2 linked regions of the Canis lupus familiaris genome follow. The protein of the gene in region 2 interacts with the protein of the main gene of each other region in a pairwise test. Links are inferred from orthologs where the notes say so. Each region holds a gene or a part of one and is shown on either strand. Other genes may lie near its edges.

Region 1 (10,105 bases), on a different chromosome or scaffold from region 2:
CCACCCTGCTCCTGCTTTGTCTCCCTCTGTCTCAAATAAAACCTTAAAAATAAATAAATAAATGGGAAAGAGTGAGGGGGTTCCAGTTCCGTGGGGGTGAATTAATGACTTTGTCGAAGCTTCAGTTCTCAACACCAGAGAGTTCACTCCATTCAGCTGCCCAGTTATTCTTTCTTTTTTTTTTTTTAATTTTTAAAAAAGGTTTTATTTCTTTATTCATGAGAAACACACACACACACACACACACGCACACACACACACACACAGAGAGAAGCAGAGACACAGGCAGAGGGAGAAACAGGCTCCATGCAGGGAGCCTTATGTGGGACTCGATCCCAGGACCCCAGGATCATGCCCTCAGCCAAAGGCAGACGCTCAACCGCTGAGCCACCCAGGCATCCTCCACCCCATTATTCTGACCACTGCTCCTCCTTTCTCCCCCTTCCATGCCACCTTCTGTTCCCACTACCTGCTTCTCCCCCGTAATGCTTCCCTTGTTCCATATTTGGCCACCCAGAGGCCCGCATGGGCTTAGGCTGGATCACCCCCCTGCTCTGCTCCTGAGTCTCGGGAACCGCTTCCCTCTTGCTTGGGGAACCAGGCCTTTCCCCCAAGTTCCTGCCTGGGCCCTTTCCTTTCTGGCTCTGGCCTTCTTATCCAGAGCTGGGGTGCTCCCACTTCTGTCCATGTCTCACCCTCAGCCCCCAGTGTGCACGCCTGGCCTTCTCTCTGGGTGCACTAGTACCTGGATGCCTGGGTGGTGGGGGGTTCCACCTTCAGAGAAGATGTGCTGCCAGGAGGATTTGCAACATGACTGTTTATTGGGCAGTAAAGAGGAAGGCCGGAGCAAGCAGGGAAAGTCAGTCCTTGGCAATGAATGGTTCCATAGAAGCCTCTGTAGTTAGAATCACAGTGATTGCAAACACACACAGCACTCAACTGCGTGCCAGGCACTGTGCTGTGAACTTGACGCATTAAACTCACGTGGCCCTCAGGGCTGCCCGATGCCATAGGTACTGTTATTATTGACATTTTAGGGATAAGGAAACTGAGGCACAGGGAGATTAAGGTAACACAGTTCATAGGAGGTAGAGCAGGATTGGAGGCAGCAGGGCCCCCAAGGGCACACTCTTACAACTCTTCAACATGCAAAATGGTGTTGGTCTAGCAGCCCTTGTGGAGGGGGAGCCCTCACTGCCGGGCTGACCCTGGTGCCCCCCCCATTCCCCTAGGTGGGCGTGAGCCTCAGTGATTGGTGCCGGAGGGAGCACGGGGCCCAAACCCATCACAGCTGGTAAGAACAAGGCTTCTGTCTTTCCAGGAAGGTGGCTCAGCCGCCAGGAAAGTAGCCTGCTGGGGCGGGGCAGGGCGGGGGCAGGGGGCAAAGTTGCAGAGATGGAGCCCTGAGGACAGGGCCCAGCCTGGGTCCAGCAGCTCCCACCTGGGTGCTTTTCGGCTATTCCCAGCAGCTGATCTGGCTTGAGTTCGGTTTCTGTCCCTTCCAATCTTTCCTTCACCTTGCCAGTCTCTCTCTGCCAGACAGTGGCACTTACCTGGTTCAGAAATTGTGGAAAGCATTTGGGGTCTACCCTGGCAGCCTGGTCACCTGTTCTCGGCTCTGGGTTCAGCTCAGGTTGAGCTGCCCACCGCCCTCCCACACCTGCTTCAGCTTGTGTTCCCGTCCCCTCTGTCGGGGAACACCACCGCTCCTCTCTTTTCAGATCTGACTCAGTTGCTCCTCTGGAAGACCCTGATTACTAGGATCTAAATTGGTGATCTTCCTCCCCTGAAGTTTTCGCTTTCACTATGAAGACAGTTCATGTCTCACCTACTGGAAATAGCAGCTTCTGGAGAAGAGGGGGTAGACACACCTGGTCTGTCTTTGCATCCCCTTGGGGCCTGGTATCGCACTTCCTCGAGGGAGCCATCAGCGGGGTAGGGGTGGCAAAGGCACACCTCTGGGCGCTGGCCAGGTGACATCAATCACCCTGCAGGCCAGGTAGGTCTCTCTAAAGAGGGCAGCTGGGCTGCTGGTTGCTTTGAAAAAATAAGGCCTCTAGGTTTTTTTAAGAGAAGCAGGAATCTATTTTTTTAATCTGTCACTTTATGTTAAAATCTCCTGCCTTTTAAGTGTTAGCAATTAACACAAGATTTGAGAAACACCGTATAGGACAGGCAAATACATCGATGAGCCGGTTTCAGCCCAGGGCTCCCACTTGGAGACGGTGGAATGAATGATACCACGGCCAGGGCTGAGGCAGGGAGGGGTGCAGGGTGCGACTGGCACAGGCACCAGGGGCGAGAGTGGGGTTGATGTGCCACCGGAGCTCTGCTCACCAAGTCACCTGCCTCGTGTGGCACGGTATGCAGACAGAGGGTGGGCTGGTGGCTTTCCAACAACAGGTGCTCCCTTTCCAACAGAGACATTTATAAAGAAGCCTGGGTCTATGGTGACCGGCTTGTCCTAGTTTGCCTGGGATTTTCCTGGTTTTAAAATCTGAAAGTCCCATGTCCCAGGAACCCTTCACATCCCAGGCAAACAGGGATGGTTGGTCCCTCTACCTAGACCCCTTTTCCTGCCGTGTCCCCAGTCTACTGAGGATAGTAACGGCACGTGTAATGTGTGAGCTTATTAAGTGCCAGACACCATGTGTTAGGCCCTGCAATGTTTTCCTTACATCTCGTAAACACCCTCATGGTATGGATTCCTTATCTATCCTACTGGGGAGAACCGGAGATTCAGAGGGTGAAGTGACTTGCCCAGGACCAGTAACAGCATGAGGGTGTGAACCCACACTGGTCTGGCTCTGACCTCTCAATCCCACTTAGAGAGCTCCAGCAGGTCCCCCCCAACAGCCCCCGATGCCGGTAGGGCACCCCCCAGCCTGCTAGGCCAGCAGGCCCTGGGGAAGGGTCAGGCCTTACTTCCTCAGGAACATATTTACGTGGTTGGAGGTCTAGCCAGAGTCAATGTCTGCAAGTCTGAGACCCCTACACCTGGCCCTCCAGTCCTGCTAGGCTATTCTGTTTCTGGACTTTAACCTCCAGCCCCCCAGTGGGACAACCCGAGAAGCCCTTGGGGGACACCTTTCTGTGATTAGAAAATAAACGCTCTCCAGTGCTTTATTGCCTGATCCGGGGAGAGCTGGCCAGTGCAGGGGCGGGCAGGGGAGCAGGCATGCGGGGCCCTGGGCTCTCAGAGGCTGCCAAGCCGGCCCCTGGAGGGCTCCCTTATTGGGGTCTAGCCGGAGTTTGGGCTGGCATGGGCCTGGTGGGGAACGAGGTGGCTGGTCAGGTAGCGCACGGCCGAGCGGACGCCCTCTAGGGTCCTCTGCTCCACCCTCTCCAGCAGGTGGGTGACAGAGCGCAGGGCCAGGCTGGTCCCCGCCATCAGCCCAGAGGAGAAGGTGCTCCCCAGGATACTGGAGACGGAGCGCAGGCTGGGCCCCGGGCTGTGCAGCAGGTCTGTCACCGAGCTGTGGCCGGAGGCCAGCAGGGCCGAGGCCATGCCCACGGTGGTCTCAGACCACACGAGGACGTCTGCCAGGGAGCTGATGGACCCCTCGCCTCCGCCCAGCAGGCTGGTCATGGAGCGCATATAGCTGTCCTCCTCGTTGGCCATGCAAAGGCTGGAGTCGAGGGACCTCCCCCCCAGGGCCACCTCTTGGGGGCCGGGCGAGGGCGGGCCACTGCCTCCTGGGGCCACTGAAGGCCTCCTCAGGTCTCTGGAGCGCTCCCCCAAGTCCCCTTCAGTCACTCCCTGGGACTCAGCTCCTGGCAAAGCTTCGGTGTCAAGGCTCACGGGCTCCGGACGCTCAGGATCTGCCTCCATAGACTCGGTGGCGCTGGTGTCCTGACCGCGCGGCTGCCTAGCCGTGTCTGCCCCGCTCCCCACGGGCTGGGCATCCACGGCTCTGGAGGGCTGCACCTCAGCGCTTGGGGTGGTTGGGGCTGATTCCTGTTCTCTGTCCGGGATGCCTGCCGATTGTGGGGTCTCTTCTCTTGCCAGGGAGTCACGTTGGGAGGTCTGAAGGCCCTGAATCATCCTGGAATCTTGCCCTTGTCTATCCCATGCTGGGTCCTGGGGGCTTGTGGACATTTGTAGAGTGTTTGAGGCCTCTCTGGGCTCCTGGCTGTGCCCTTCAGCCACTGCATAGCTGTCCTGGTCCCCAGATGCTGATGTGGGTTTGGAGGTCACCGAATCGACAGAGGCCTGATCTACATCCTGCTGTTCAGGTGATGCTATGGCACCATTAGCCGCTGGTCCCACCTGATTTTGGGACCCCGCTCCTGGACCATCTGGGGATCTGCTGTTGCCGTCTGTGGGGATGCTGGCAGTTCTGGACTCTCTCGAGGGCGTGGTGGTCATCTAGGTCTTCTGTCACTTGCTCTGGCTGCAGAGTGGCCACAGCCCTGCCGGGCCAAGTTGTTCAGGTGGTGACATCACAGGGGGCTGTAGGCAGCTGGTGATGTCATAGCTATTTGCACAGCAAGGGTCCTGAGCCTCTGGAGTGGCTGTCCCAGTGGGCTGAGTCCGCAGGACAATCTATAGCTGAGTTTGCAGGTACATCATGAAAGAGAGGCAAGTTTTTTTTTTTTTTTTTTTTTAAGATTATTTATTTATTTATTCATGAGAGACAGAGAGAGGCAGAGACACGGGCAGAGGGAGAAGTAGGCTCCCTATGGGGAACCTGATGTGGGACTCAATCCCGGGATCCCGGGATCTGGACCTGAACCAAAGGCAGACGCTCAACTGCTCAGCCACCCAGGCATCCCAAGAGAGGCAAATGTTTTGGGAGAAAAGTGGATATATATAGGTACAGGTGCTGGTGCCCACAGGAACCATGGGACACAGATGTCGATTTATCATAAATATTCTAAGGAGCCAGCCCCAGTACCTGTCTGTCCATGCTGGTGACTGAGGACTCTGATTTGGCCAGTCTTTCTGCAGAGAGTCAGTTTCCCAGCAGTGGTGAGTTGAAATGAGTGAAGGCTGAGGGCCTGCACAGCCCCTGGCAATGACTGTCTTTGTTTTTGTTTTTGTTTTTTTTTAAGATTTATTTATTTATTCATGAGAGGCACAGAGAGAGGGAGAGACATAGGCAGAGGGAGAAGCAGGCTCCCTGCAGCCTGCTCAACTGCTGAGCCACCCAGGCATCCCAATGACTGTCTTTGGTGTGGGGTGCCATAGACTGAATGTTTGTGTTCCACCCCAAAATTCAGAGGTTGAAAGCTAATCTCCAATGTAATGGTATTTGGAGGTGGTTAGGTTGTGAGGATGGGACCCTCACAAACAGCATCGGTGCCCTTATAAAAAGCTGCCTGGTGCCCTCCTTCATGTGAAATGCAGCCAGAAGGCAGCAATCTACAAACCAGGAGGCAGGTCCTCACCAGACACTGAACCCACCTGGGCCTTGATCTTGGACTTCCCAGCCTCTAGAACCGTGAGAAATAAGTTTCTGTTGGGAGTGCCTGGGTGACTCAGTCAGTGGAACACGTGACTCTTGATCCTGGGGGTGGTAAGTGTGAGCCCCACGTTGGGCATAGAGTTTACTTAAATCTTTTTCCAATGTTCATAAGCAGCCCCCCCACCTGCTCTGGTCTATGGTGCTCTGTAATAGTGGTCCGAATAGACTGAGACAGAAATTTGTGCTGAGAAGCAGGGGGCTGTTGTAGCAAACACTTAAACATGTGGACGCAGCCCTAGAACTAGGTTATGGGCAGAGGCAGGGAGAGTCTGAGCTGTGGGCTCAGAGAAGCTCAGTGCTGTGAAGATGTTTAAGGATGATTCTGGAGAAAGCTAGAAAGGAAGGGAGACCTCTGGAGTGAAATCCTCAGTTTTCTCAGAGAACCTCCAATAATCCTGAATTTACTTTTTTTTTTTTTCTTTTCTGAATTTACTATTGATAGTAAAAGCATTTTGATACGATCTCAGGTGGAAACAAGGACCGTGTTATTGGAAACTGGAGGGAAGGTGAACCTTGTTATAAAGTGGCAAAAAAACTGGGCTGAATTGCGATAGTGTTCTAATGTTTTCTGGAAGGTAGAGTTTGTGAGCAATGGAATCGGAAGGATTTGAAGCAATTTCTTCCTTTTTTTTTTCCCATTGAAGTATTATATTTACATGTATGTATTACATCCTTAGAAAAAGAATCCCAGAAGTTTCCCTCCTGCATGTGTGTGTGTGTTTAAAAGATTTTACTTATTTATTCACGAGAGACAAGGCAGAGACACAGGCAGAGGGAGAAGCAGACTCCTTGTAGGAGCCCGATGTGGGACTCGATCCTGGAACTCCGGGATCACACCCTGTGCCAAAGGCAGACACTCAACTACTAAGCCAAAGGCAGACGCTCAACCACTGAGCCACCCAGGCATCCCCCTCCGGTGTGTTTTCATCTTGCTTCTTCATGGTCCACGATGCCAACTGGGGTTGTCAGTACCATGAAACCAAACTGGTGGGACAGGAGCAGATTATTCTGCTATTTTTCTAGATCTTTGGGGTGGTACATCAAGTCTGAGGCTGATCATTCCACACTTATTTAACCTGCCCTGTGGGGTTCACAACAATTTTCCCACCCCTTGAGAATCAATGATTTCAAATTTTCCAATGTAACTATGCTTCATCATCACAGTTAGGAACCGGATGATGACTTTGGAGCATGGCCTAATAAAAACCTGGTATTTGCCTCTCTTTTCTGCATCATTAATGCTCTTGAGAGCATCTACCAGGACACTCATGCGCACCATTATGGTGGCACGAAAACAGCAGAAACTGAAGCAATTTCTTTTTTTTTTTTTTTTAATTTTTTTTTTATTTATTTATGATAGTCACACAGAGAGAGAGAGAGAGAGAGTCAGAGACATAGGCCGAGGGAGAAGCAGGCTCCATACACCGGGAGCCTGATGTGGGATTCGATCCCGGGTCTCCAGGATCGCGCCCTGGGCCAAAGGCAGGCACCAAACCGCTGCGCCACCCAGGGATCCCAACTGAAGCAATTTCTAAGCAAAATATTGAAGGTGTGGCTTGGTTGCTTTGATGGTTTATAGTAGACTTTGAAAGGAGGGAACTAACTTAAAGATGGAATTATTAAGCTAAAGGGAATTAGAACTTAAAGATCTGGAAAATTCTCAGTCTATCCATACTGCAAAGAATGAGAAAGTGTGGATTTTTTATGGTTTCAGGTCTCACACTTAGCTCTTTACATCTTGCGAGGTTTTTTTGTATGTGTATCATGTTAAAAAGTGGTCCAATTTCATTCTTTTGCATGTAGCTATCCAGTTTTCCCAGCACCATTTATTTATTTTTTAAAAGATTTTATTTATTTATTCATGAGAGACACACAGAGAGAGGCAGAGACATAGGCAGAGGGAGAAGCAGGCTCCCCATGGGGATTCTGATGTGGGACTTGATCCCAGGACCCCGGGATCCAACCTGAGACTAAGGCAAATGTTCAACCACTGAGCAACCCAAGTGCTCTATTTTCTGTTTTGATTACCAAAGCTTTGTTGTATATCTTAAAACCTGGGATTGTGATGCCCAGCTTTGTTCTTCTTTTTCAAGATTGCTTTGGCTATTTGGGGTCCTCTGTGGTTCCATACAAATTTTGCTATTATTGGTTCTAGTTCTGTGGGAAAATGCTGTTGGTATTTTCTTTTAAGATTTTATTTTATTTATTTGAAAGAGAGAGAGAGAGAGCATGAGCAGTGGGGAGGAGTGGAAGGAGAGGGAGAAGTAGACTCCTGCTGAGCAGGGAGCCCAGTGTGGGACTTGGTCCTAGGACCGTGGGATCATGACTTGAGCCAAAGGCAGACGATTAACCAACTGAGCCACCCAGGTGCCCCTCTGTTGGTTTTTTTTTTTTTTTTTTTTTAAATTTATGATAGTCATACAGAGAGAGAGAGAGAGAGAGGCAGAGACACAGGCAGAGGGAGAAGCAGACTCCATGCACCAGGAGCCTGACGTGGGACTTGATCTCGGGTCTCCAGGATCGCGCCCTGGGCCAAAGGCAGGCGCCAAACCACTGCGCCACCCAGGGATCCCCTCTGTTGGTATTTTGATAAGGATTTCATTGAATCTGTAGATTGCTTTGGACACTATGGACATTTTAACAATAATTATTTTGTTAGGGATGTCTGGGTGGCTCAGTGGTTGAGCTTTTGCCTTTGGCTCAGGTCATGATCCCGTAGTCCTGGGATCATAGTCCCACATCGGGCTCTCTGCAGGGAGCCTGCTTCTCCCTCTGCCTGTGTCTCTGCCTCTCTCTCATGAATAAATAAATACAATCTTTTTAAAAATAATTATTTTGCTAATTTTTTAGTAAGCTCTCAGCCCAACATGGGGCTTGAACTCAGGACCTCGTGATTAAGACTTGAACGCTCAGGGATCCCTGGGTGGCTCAGCAGTTTAGGGCCTGCCTTTAGCGCAGGGCATGATCCTGGAGCCCCGGGATTGAGTCCTGCATCAGGCTCCCTGCATGGAGCCTGCTTCTCCCTCTGCCTCTCTCTCTCTGTCTAATGAATAAATAAATTTTAAAAAATAATAAAAAAAAAAAAGACTCAAATGCTCTACCAACTGAGCCAGCCAGGTGCCCCCATGTTAACAATATTAATTCTTGCAACCATGAACATGGAATATCTTTCCTTTTTTTTTTTCTTTTTAAGCTTTTATTTATTTGAGAAGGAGCAAAGAGGGAGGAAGAGGGACAAGCAGACTCAATGCTGAGTGCAGGGCTCGATCCCATGACTCAGATCAGGACCTGAGCCCAAACCAAGAGTCAGACACTTAACCGACTGAGCCACCCAGGCTCCCCCCTCCTTTTTGGAGTATCTTTCCATTTTCAGCAAGTGTGCTGGGAAGAGAACACTGAGGGTGTGGCCAAGCAAATGTTTGACATCATCAGGGCTGTTGCTCCTTCACAGGCACAGGGTGCGAGGGCTGCTGAGGGGGGAATGCAGGTCCGTGTCCGGCATCTGAGCGGCTGCCAGCGTGGGGCCTGAGTGTGACAGTGGGCACAGCTGCACATTGCAGGCTCGCCGCCTGCACTCCTTGTGACACGGGATGAATAATCTCCATCTTCTCCCTGTTCAAGGGGGCTGGAGGGGCAGGGAATAACAAGAGATCCATAAACCCCTGAGTATTCCTTGGAAAAGTGCAGACCCAGACAAGCCTCCTTGCACTTGTGCTCTTTGTTAGGAAGGGGGCTGGGGCAGCAGGTTGTATTCCGTTAGACCTGGGTGCTTCCCCTCGGGTTATCGGCTAAGGAGCACTCGCCACAGGTGGGAGAAGCAGCCAGGCACCTAATCCTTCCAGCTACTCCACTGTCTCTGGATAGGTGCGCATCTAGCATTACACCCATTTTACACGTGGGGAAGCTGAGCCTCAGAGGGAGTAAGTGGCTCATTCAAAGTCACACTATTCATAAGCACTGAATCTGGGTTTTGAATTCTGACTTTGGAACACAAGCTCTCCCCCACCTTATATCCAGGGTGGGATATTAAAAATATCAAATCACTGGCATGGCAAGGCCACTGGATAATACAGACAGGGGCCGACCCTAATCATCACATCAGTAGGTAACAGCTGGTATCACTTCTCCTGAGCACCAGGCTCAATGCTCGTTAAGTATTTCTTCTCATGAGACCTCTGCTGCCATGTCAGAGGCCACTGGGCAAACCCAAATTGGTTGGGGTGGGAGGAGCCAGTTGGTTCACCCTTGTACCTTGTCAAAGAATCGTGGAGAAGACCGCTGGTTGCTCATCCTAGTAGCCTTTCTTCTTTGGTGTCAGAATCACAATTTTATTCAGGTGGCTACGTGCTCAGCCAAAAGAATACATTCCCAGGGCAGCCCCGGTGGCTCAGTGGTGTAGCGCCGCCTTCAGCCCAGGGCATGATCCTGGAGACCTGGGATCGAGTCCCATGTCAGGCTCCCTGCATGGAGCCTGTTTCTCACCTCTGCCTGTGTCCCTGCCTCTCTCTCATGAATAAATAAATAAAATTTATATATATATATATATTCCCAGCCTTCCTTGCAGCTAGGTAAGAGCTTCCATCAGGGAGATGTAACGGAAAGTACTGAGTGGAGTTTGGAAGACTTAGAAAGACTAA
Region 2 (9,680 bases):
CGAGGAGGGCCGGCCTCGCTCACCTTTGGCACCGCCCACGCTAGCGTGGATCCACCGCCCACCTGCGCCGCCGCCACTGCTGGGGACACGCGGCCGAGCAGGCACGGCGCCCCGCCCCTTTCCGTTACTAGACCCGCCCCCCCCAGGCGGCTTCTCGCCCTCATTGGCCCGTCTGCCGGAGCGGAAGGGGTGGAGCCGCAGACACGTGAGGGTCGGTTTCGAGGCCTCATTGGCTGGTCTCTAGGGCGGAAGGAGGGGGGCCGCCCGGGCGGGTCTCACCTGCGGTGTCTGGGTGGCCCGAGCCCTGGCGGAGGTGGCAGGTGGCGGGAGAGCGCGGTGGGAGCGCAGGTGCCCTGGGGGTCCGACCGGCCTGGTCGGCTCGGCGTAGTGTGGGGGTGAAGCGCAGGGCCCGGAGGGCCGCAGGTGCTGGTGGGCATTGCTCAGTGAGCTCAGGGGCCGCCTGCAGGAAGCTGACCCTCGGGAGGTGCGCACCTGCCCACGGGGGTGGCGGTGGCTGCTGAGCAGGGAGCCCTGGCGGGGCCTGCAGACGAGGGAGCGCCCCTGGCTCAGGTGGGCCGGTGGGCGAGGCCCGTCCGGAAGGTGCGCAGCTGCGGCTGGGATTCGGGATGAGCCTGGCACCCACCGGGTTCGCCCCCGGGCAGAGTAGGAGACGCGGCTAGACGTGGCCAGGCCGTGCGCAGCTGTGCAGCCCGGGCCCTCGGCGCCTGGCCCGGCCGTCCGCCCTACCTGGGGGCCTCCTGCGCATGGGCTGCCCGCCGCTGGGAAACGGGGTGAAGGCAACCTCGGGGGCGACCGCTTGGGCTTCACCAGAAGCAACACCGGATTCCAGGCAAAAGTTTCATGGAAGGCAAGGGTGTGGAAAGGCCTGCCTCTTAGGGATGGATTCGTGAGGAGGTCAGGGCTGGGCTGGGAGGCCCGGGGCGCCCTGCACAGCAGGAGAGGTGTGTGAGCCCATCCCCCGGGGCCCTGCTGGATGCTGGTGTCCAAGACGACCTGGACCTATCGAGGAGGGAGGCCTGGGCTTCCGCCAGCCGGCCTTTCAAGAGTGGTGTGGAGCAGAGCCTCTATTGGGTGAAGCCGTGAAGGTGTCAGGATTTGTGTGTTCTGGCTGTGGCCTTCACGAGTTACAGATCTGGAAACCCGGCGGGGACAAGAAGCTTATTTGGAGGCTTGATGGGTGGTCACCTTGGTTTAACATTTTGGTTTCTCCTCTTATTTGAACCAAGAACAATCCAATTAAAAAAACAAAAAAACAAAAAACAAAAAAAAACAACGTTGGATTTCAACATTAATTAAAAGCCAGTTTTTTGGGAGACTCTGCTCACTGCTCTCCCGGGGCTGGGTGAGCATTCTCGCAGGCCACGACACTGATGAAGCACCTACTTCTACTTCTATAAAAGATATTTACTTTTAATGTTATTCTACTATAAAAAGCCAACGTGAGGGAAAGAGCATGTGTTGCCATCTCACAGCAAGGCCACGTGGCGTGCTGGCCGCAGGCCTGCACTGCAGCTTCCCTACAGCCAGGAGGAGGCCGTGGGCCGCCACAGGGCGGTGTTCCAGCCCAGAGGTGTTCGTGGACGAGGCAGCTGGGCCCCACTCTCTGGCAGACCACGAGTGGCCCCGGGGAACAGGTGAAGGTTCTGAAGCAAGATTTATTCCAAGTGGGTGTGGACAGTGCTGACCTCAGGAGAGACGTGCCTTTCAAAGTAGGTCACAAGCCTCTTGGTCTCCCAGCCCCGTCTCCTCCCTCTGCTACTTCTCTGGCCTGAGCTCTGGCAGCGGAGGGGCCCCTAGTTCCCAAACAAAGGTACCCAAATGCCAGGAGAGAATTACAGAGATTTATCTTTATTAGTATCTTTATTAGCAAGAAAAAGAAAACCAGAATTTCTACCACCACCACCACCCCCCGCCCCCGTGCTAAACCCCACTTCCACTGCCTGGGCCCTCAGGGAGCAGCATCTGCCTGGGGAGGGCCTGCTGCCGGAGGTGTCCTTGGAGCCTGGGCACCCGTGCATGGCCACCCCTGTGCCTCGAGCCAACCATGGGCCCCCTCCTCCACAGTGCAGGGATGACAGGGCAGCTGGCCTGTCTCCAGCCCTCAGCTGTCAGCCTTGGGACCTTGGAAAAGATTAGCGATGTCCAGCAGAGCTTGGCGGATGTGGTTTCCAAAGCGCTGGGCGTTCTGCGGGAGCCAAGAGCTCAGACCAACCCTGGCAGGGAGCCCCTGTCTCTCTGTCCCTGCAACCCAGGGCTCGTCCCCAGCCCACAGGGCTCTGGGGGGCACCTCCTCCTCCGCCTGAGCAGGGGCAGGAGAGACTCACCGTCTCTGAGCTTGAGAACTTGCTGGAGATGTGGAAGAAGATGGTGTTCTCGCCCGCGATCATGTAGGAAACCCCGTAGCCATCGTCTGCCACCTGAGAACAGCACAGATGGTAGAGAAGGAAACGAGCCTTGCAGGGCTTGCTGTCCCCAGATTCCCGGGAAGGGGTTCATTCCTGAGGTCAGGGGCACTGCTGGGAGGAGCTCTGCCCCTGCAGCTACAGGTGCTACCGGGATCCAGGGCAGTGTTTGTCCCAGGAGGCCTGAGATCGCTGCCTCTCCCCGAGTGTCTCCAGCCCTGGCGTACGGTGGGGGACCCGGGCTCTGCACCGTGAGGGCAGCGACCAGTCCTGGGCCCGGTCGGTTGTGCTGCCGCGGGGTGTCGTGTAGGCGGCTGCAGCCTGTGCCCGGGTAATAGCTGCCCACTGTCCTTGCCTGACTTCAGGGCCCTCCTCCCCCTGAGATGCTGGGGCCCAGTCCTGCTCCCCTGTGCCCTTCCAAGAGCACTTACAGGGCCAAAGCCACCACCGGCGCCCAGGTGTTTGGGGTACTTGTCTGGGTCGAACATGCGGATCTGGAATTGAGCAATCTGGCTGGTGGAGAGGCGCCAGGGCTCCGAGAGCACCTGCAACAGAGAGGCCACCGCAGACACACCTGTGTGAACTGCCTTGCGCTTGGCACGTCCCTGTCAGCAGGTGGTGCCTGCACAACAGCCTGAGCGGGTGCGCAGACTCCCCGTCTGTTCTCAGGGTGACGCAGCTGCGTAGAACCCCCAAGGCCCCTGTGACCTGACGGTCCCCTCGGCCCGTCCTACCAGCCTGTCTCTCCCTGGGCTCTGCTCCCTCCCCTGGGGCTGCTGTGCCCCTGCCCCAGTGTGTGGACACTGGAGGACCCCTTCACCCCAACCCTCTGCCTCCCCTCTCTGCCTCCGAGTGCTGTCAGCACCCGACAGCCACGTGTCTGTCTGTCCACGCTCATGAGAACGGCAGCTCCACAAGGGGAGACTGCTGCTCAGAACCAGGCCCCCAGGCCTGGACGGGCCACGGGGAGGGCAGCTGCAGGGCAGGGGACAGGGGACACCGCCACCAACCATGCTGACCTCAGCCAGGAAAGGGGAGCTGACCCCCAGGTACTTGGAGACCACGTAGAGGCAGAAGAGGTGCCTGTCTATGCCAGCCCCTGTCATCGCCAGGCGGTACATATTCTGGTGTTTCTTGGAAGCCTTCCGGAAGAGGTCTCGGAGGTCAGCTTTCTGGGGGGCAGAGGTGAGGCGGTGAGGGGTGGGGCGGTGAGGAGTGGCCTGGCCCCTAAGTGGCTGGCGGCGGAGCCGGGCGCTCACCATGCGGGACCCCTCTGCCATGGCCTGCACGAAGGCTGTGGACTCGCTGGTGCAGGAGCGCACGGTCTCGGTCCGTCCCTCCCGGAACATCCTGGTCATGGAGGCCTCGTAGGTGAGACAGAACTTGCCCCTGTCCTGGGGGGTGCAGGGGGTGAGTGCGGCCGCTGAGGCTGCACCCCCTGCCCCCGCGGCCCGGCCCCTACCCGGAAGTGGGCGAGTTGCAGGGCAATCTGCACGAAGGCGTCCGGGCTAGTGCGACACTTCTTGATGAGGCCTTTGCCGAACGGCAGGAACTGGAAGCAGTACAGCTCCACGTCGTCGGCTAGTGCCGTGGCCACCTGGCAGGAGCTCTCGATGACCGCTCGGCACTGCCAGCAGAGGGAGAGGTCAGCTGGGGGCAGAGCTCGGCACGCGGGGCTGCAGGGTCAGGGGGAGGCCTGGAGGGGACGACACATCCACAAACACGGGAGACCCCCTGAGGGGCCTGGGCCGGGAGGCCGGCAGATGCTCCATGGGCCAGGGTCACGCCCAGGTCGCTCACTGGCCACCAGAGGGTCCCAGGACCTCCCTGGACTCTGACAAGCTCTGTCCCTTCCCCCTGAGAGTGCCCCCCATCCCTGTCCCTTCTTGGCCACACACCTGCTCAGGGATGTCCCACTGCAGCCGCTGGGGAGCGGCCAGCGCGGGGTTAGCTTTGCCCTGGCAGTGCCCAGTCTCCGTGTAGCCGAGGTGAAAGGTCTCAGTACCCAGGACAAACTGCAGGGAGAAGGGGAGGCTGAGGAGCCAGCCTCGTGCCCCACACCCAGCCGGCCCCACAGGACCCCTCCCTGGCCCATCACCTCCCAGAGGTGCCCTATGATGGGGGCGTCTGCCCACGCGTGTTCTGTGTTGAGGCCCAGCTGGCCGTTCTTGAAGGCGATGACCGTGAAAGACTTGTCGAACCACCTGCAGGAGGGGAGGCGGGAGATGCAGGCGGGCGCGGAATGGGGAGGCCGGTGGAGGGCCACGGCCAGGGTGTCACACCTGTTGTAGCAGTTGCCGTGCAGCAGGGCCTTGCCGTACAGGCTGAGGCTGGCCTCATCCTCGGGGTCGTAGTGGTGAGACTCCTCGTCCAGGGCCACAAAGAAGGCAGCTCGCTCGATGGCATCCAGAGCAGCCTTGTTCTTGCCGGAGCTGAAGAAGGCCTGGCGCGCCTGTGCCCACTCCAGTCTGGGGCACAAGGGCAGGGAGGGCAGTGGGGTCCCTGTGGGCGGTGGAGGACCCCCCCCCCCCACCCCGGACCTGGCAGGACCGTCCGGGAGGAATCCCTGCCCCACTTGCTCCACCTCCACCCAGTCAGACGTGGCTAGACGCCGCCATGGCCACCAGTGCCCCCGGCTACAGAGGGTCCTACCCCAGACAGGGGGCGCCCTGCCGGTGGGCATGCCCCTTGCCAGGCCACTGGGCCCAGGTTCTGGGTGCCCTGCGCGTGGGCCCTTGTCCCCGTGGGGTGCTGGTACCTTCCCCCGGCCGTGAGCGCTGCTAGCTTCTCCTCCCCGGGCTGGGGCGGGGACGGGTCGTCCAGGATCCTCTGGAACTGCAGCTCCAGGTCGCAGGGCTTGAGCAGCTGGGAGCCCTCATACAGCCACAGCTTGAAGAAGCGGCCCTTGTGGTAGACAGCCACGTGCCTGCTGTCCGACAGGTGCTGCAGCAGGTCTGGGGCAGAAGCCGGCAGGGGGCAGGGGCTGAGGCCTGGGCCGGGCGCACCTCCCTGCTCCCGCACCACCCTGTGCTGCAGGCCTCCACCTGGACTTCCCCTGTGCGGGGCTGTGGCGGTGCCGCCATCGAGCCAGGCCCTGTGCCGGGCTCCCGTACCTCTTGTGCAATGCCAACAGTCCTAGGAAACACTTCACAGAAGAGGAAGCTGAAGCTCTAGGAAATTACACACACTGTCCCAGTGTCGGGAGCTGGACCCGCAGCACACAGCCCCTCCTGCTCTGCAGCTCCACCCCTCCTGCTCTCCTTACCCAGGCCACCTGCCTGGCTCGCAGGGTCCCAGCACTGGCATCAGGCCTGCGGACACGTGGTGTCTGGGACGGCTCACAAACCAAGCATTTGTCACAGTTACTTGACCCTGAGATACCTGGGACATTTGGTGATGACGAGCAGATTGGAGGGCACCTAGCATGCAGGCCCCGAGCTGGGAGGGTGGGGGGACTCGGTCCTGACGGCCCCAGCACAGCACGAGCACGAGCACGGACACCTGGCTGTGGCCCAGTACCTGTCTCCTTGCCCGGGATCCGGGTCGTGTTGAACATCCTCTCCATCTGGTAGGAACACATGGGCACAATGCCCAGGGCCATCACCTGGGGGGAGGCCAGCGCAGCTCAGATGCGGCCGTCTCTCCTGGCTGCGCCGCCCGCCTCACACAACTCACAGGCTTGATCTCCTCGCGGTCCAGTTTACGGCGGTACATGATCATAGCGTGCACGACGTTGCCCAGGCGGGCTGCCTGGATGTTTGTATTCTTGATGAGCACGAAGTCCTGCGGAGACAGAGCAGAGCCTCAGGTGCCGTGCCATGATCTCTCTGGGCTGCTATTGCCTGGGTCTCCCTGCCTGAGGCCCCGGGGCTCCTGACTCCCTTCCCCAGGCCACCCTGCACCTGTGTTCAGCATGCGCTGCCACAGATGGACCTGTGACCCAGCACATCGCCCCTCAGCTCAGCTGGAATCTTTTGAGCTTTTTCATGACCTACTTTGTTCATGTTTTATTTTGCATTGAGAAATAGTTTAAAACCTATTGCAGGCAAGTTGTATGTACGTCGTGGGGCGGGGGGGGGCAGCTTTGTGGGGGAGGGGACATGGGCACGTGACTCGGAACAGCTCTGGACAGCGGGAGACCGCGGGAAAGGAGAGGCACGCTATGGAGCCCCGTGGCTGGGCTGTGGGGACACCTGGCTGACTGGGCACCTCAGGTGCTGGGAGCCGGAGAAGAGCTGGTCGCGGGGCAAGGGGCTGAGCTCTGAGAGAAGCAGCTCTGGGTTCACATAGTGACACAAAGGGAAGGCACGAAAGGAGAAGCTCCCTGGTGGTGGTGTCAGGATGGTTGGGAACCTGCGGCTGGGATGCCAGCAACAGAGCCATGGCGGGAAGGGCCAGTTCCTGGGCTGGGCCAGGCAGTGAGCCCGGGGGACTCGGAGAGTGACAGTGTCAGGCTGTGGGTCCTCAGGAGCCCGGCTGCCCTGACTGTTCTTCCAGGATCTCCCCCAACCTCCCCGCCCCCCCGGGCCCGCTCGCACCATGACATAGTAGTTGCTGTTCACCACGAGAGGCGCCCTGCTGCGCAGGTACACATACTCTTCCCACCAGTCACTCACCTGCGGAAGGAAGGGAGGGGTCAGAGGCAGGGGACCCCCCCCACACACACATAGGAGGGTGAGGTAAGCCCAAGAGGGGACTCACATAGTTGGTTGCCCACCATGACTTGAGGACCAGGTACTTCTGCAGCCGGGGGGCGGTCTTGTCCTGGAATTCCTTGGCCAGGACCTCCATTCGGTAGTATTCCTCATCATCCAGCAAGGGCCGCACAGACTCCAAGTACTGTCCAGCCAAGTCATTGTCAGCGTGGGGGCCAAACAGCAATGACCGCCTCTGTCCTGCCCCCCTGCCAACCCGGCCCCATGGCTCTCAACCCCGCTCTTTGCAGGGGATGGTCCCTGATGTTTGGAGAAGTCCTTGCAGTCCAGCTTAGCCTGCCCCACTGGGATGTCTGACCCGAACCCTCACCCGCTGAACTGTGGCCGGCACGCTGGGCACAGGAAGCTTGGGCAGGGATGTCTGGAAGCTGTAGAGCATGGGCCTCCGGCTGGACAGCAGGCGGACACAGATCTGGGCACACAGAATGTTTCTGGTGAGAACCAGGGGAAATAACAGAAACAGCCACATTTGAGGAGCTGGGCCCCCAACCCTCAGAACCAGGACAAACCCACGCACCAGGTGCCAGTGCCCCACCTGCCTCTCCCAGCTTACAACCCCAAATGAGGTCCCCAGAGTCTCAAACCAGATGCCTGAACCCCTCCACCGGCTCCTGCTCACAGCCCAGACTTTGGTGAAGTGGCTGGTCTGGCCGTGCATCTCGAACATCCAACCGTGGTAGGAAAGAAGCAGTTTCAGGGTTTGGCGGAAGAAGAAGATGCCCATCATCCAGACCCCAGTGGAGAAAATGGCCATGCTGAGAAGTGCCCGGGTCTGTGGGGTCCGGTAGGGGCCACATCTGCCGGGGAAGGGAGAGGGCTGCAGGGGGTCCACTTGAGGTCAGGCTGGGGGGCGGGGGGAGTCTGACTCTGCACTTCTGACCGTGGTGGATCGCGTCGGGGGAGGCGTTGATGAAGAGCACTCCTGGGCACCCTCATGTCCGAGGGCCTTACATTCAAACTTAGAAAGTAGGACTCAGATGATAGTGGCCCCCCGGGAGGGCTGCCCCTAGGACCTCCAGGGGCTACTACTGGTTTGTGCCCTGCTCAGGAGCCTGCCCCGCCCTCCCCGGGAGCCCTGCTTCTCACCCCTCAGGGAGGCATCTCTGGATGCAGCACACCAGCCCCATGGAGATGTCCACCTTGCAGTAGGAAGAGCCCACCGTCGCCATGACAATGACCAGCCAGCTGGTGGGGCTGCCAGGGTACACGCCCCTGAGGATGCCATTCTGCGGGGCAGACACAGGCAGCTTGCAGCGAGAAAGGCCGTGGGGAGGAGGCAGCTGAGCTCCGGGTCTTGCGGGGCCTCCTCCCTTCCTCACCTGCTGTGCTCTTCCTCCTCCACGCTCCCCTACCTGCAGCACCTCTTACTCACCAGGGGGCTGCTATTCCTTGCGCCCTGTCTGCCCTGCACACCTGAGCACCCCTGGGGCTTCTGCACTGCTGGAGCCTATCACCCAGCATGACGGCCAGCCTCCAGCCTCGGTGGGCGGGGGGGGGGGGGCCAGCCGCCGACATCTGGCCTCGCCTCCGGGGAGACTGTTCGCACCTGCCAGAACCACCTGCGCCCACCTTGATGCGAATCAGGCGTTTCTTCCAGGAGTTGATCCCGGACAGGTAGATGTGCTTCAGGGCCTCCCGACTGAGCCGGAAGTCCACCCCGTCTGGGGTCACGGTGAACTGGAAGGCCACGGCCTGGTGCGCTTCCGCCATCCTGGAGGTTGGCCCTCACCTGGAGGGGTGTGCGGGCGGGCTGAGGCCGGCCCCGCCCCCGCGCCCCCCGGTGGGGGGGGCGCCCCCGGTGCCCCCACCCCCGCACCCCCGGTGCCCCCGCCCGCCCCGCCCCCGCTCGGGGCCCCGCCCCCTGCCCAACGGCTGCTGGACCCTCGCGCCGCGATCGGATCCGGGGGCCCCGCTGGAGGGGCAGGGGGGCAGGGGGAGCAGGGGCCGGGAGCCCTGGAGCCGCGGCGAGGTGGGGGCCCTGACCGCGCGAGGGGCCCCGTGCCACTCACGGCTGGGGTTCGCTTCCGTCCGCGCGGGGGGCCAGTCGGTCTGGCCCGTGTCCCCACGTCCTTCAGGCCTGGCCGCCCCGCCCCTGCCGGGAACCTGACACCCACTCCCAAATTTGGGTCGAGCAAACAGATGTGGGGCGGCGACCAGAATCCCCTCCTCTGTGTGGTGGGAACCGGGGTGGGGGCGGGCTCTGCACGCTGGCGTGGCTCGGAGGTCCGAGAACCTGGGGCGGGGGGGCGCCCGGGGCTCACGTGAGGATGGGAGCATTAGAGCTAAAAATAGCTGAATGTAGGGAAAAGGTCGCCAGGGCGTCAGCTGTGCGCCTGCGAGCAGGGTAGCCCCCCCCCCCCCCCCCCCGCCCCCCACCAGGTCCTTCCAGTATGGGTCGGGGAGCTGCAGCCAGGGGGCCTGTGACCCGGGTCAGCCCCGGCACCCAGCTGCCTGCTTTCCAGAAGGGGACAGTGAGGCTCAGCTCAGGGGGCAGGTCAGGCTGCGCGTTCCCCGGGGTGGGCAGAGCCAGAGCCAGGACCAG

The links.
Region 1: the proteins of CPT1B (region 2) and TEX44 interact in binary tests that used the Homo sapiens proteins (3 or more experiments, as listed by UniProt). The two-hybrid records come from large-scale screens. The link is inferred for Canis lupus familiaris from reciprocal best matches to the Homo sapiens genes CPT1B and TEX44.

What each region holds. Positions count from the first base shown.
Region 1 is NC_049246.1:43,631,368-43,641,472, reverse strand, and holds TEX44 (testis-expressed protein 44), read right to left. Parts: upstream 4,424-10,105; 5' UTR 4,370-4,423; coding exon 3,242-4,369; 3' UTR 3,106-3,241; downstream 1-3,105.
Region 2 is NC_049231.1:17,642,701-17,652,380, reverse strand, and holds CPT1B (carnitine O-palmitoyltransferase 1, muscle isoform), read right to left. Parts: upstream 9,329-9,680; 5' UTR 9,148-9,328; intron 8,868-9,147; 5' UTR 8,849-8,867; coding exon 8,708-8,848; intron 8,365-8,707; coding exon 8,225-8,364; intron 7,936-8,224; coding exon 7,674-7,935; intron 7,551-7,673; coding exon 7,449-7,550; intron 7,263-7,448; coding exon 7,125-7,262; intron 7,040-7,124; coding exon 6,962-7,039; intron 6,207-6,961; coding exon 6,099-6,206; intron 6,028-6,098; coding exon 5,943-6,027; intron 5,378-5,942; coding exon 5,182-5,377; intron 4,892-5,181; coding exon 4,706-4,891; intron 4,628-4,705; coding exon 4,522-4,627; intron 4,439-4,521; coding exon 4,322-4,438; intron 4,051-4,321; coding exon 3,886-4,050; intron 3,818-3,885; coding exon 3,683-3,817; intron 3,596-3,682; coding exon 3,443-3,595; intron 2,969-3,442; coding exon 2,855-2,968; intron 2,439-2,854; coding exon 2,346-2,438; intron 2,207-2,345; coding exon 2,123-2,206; 3' UTR 1,849-2,122; and 1 more. UniProt on the Homo sapiens protein: Catalyzes the transfer of the acyl group of long-chain fatty acid-CoA conjugates onto carnitine, an essential step for the mitochondrial uptake of long-chain fatty acids and their subsequent beta-oxidation in the mitochondrion.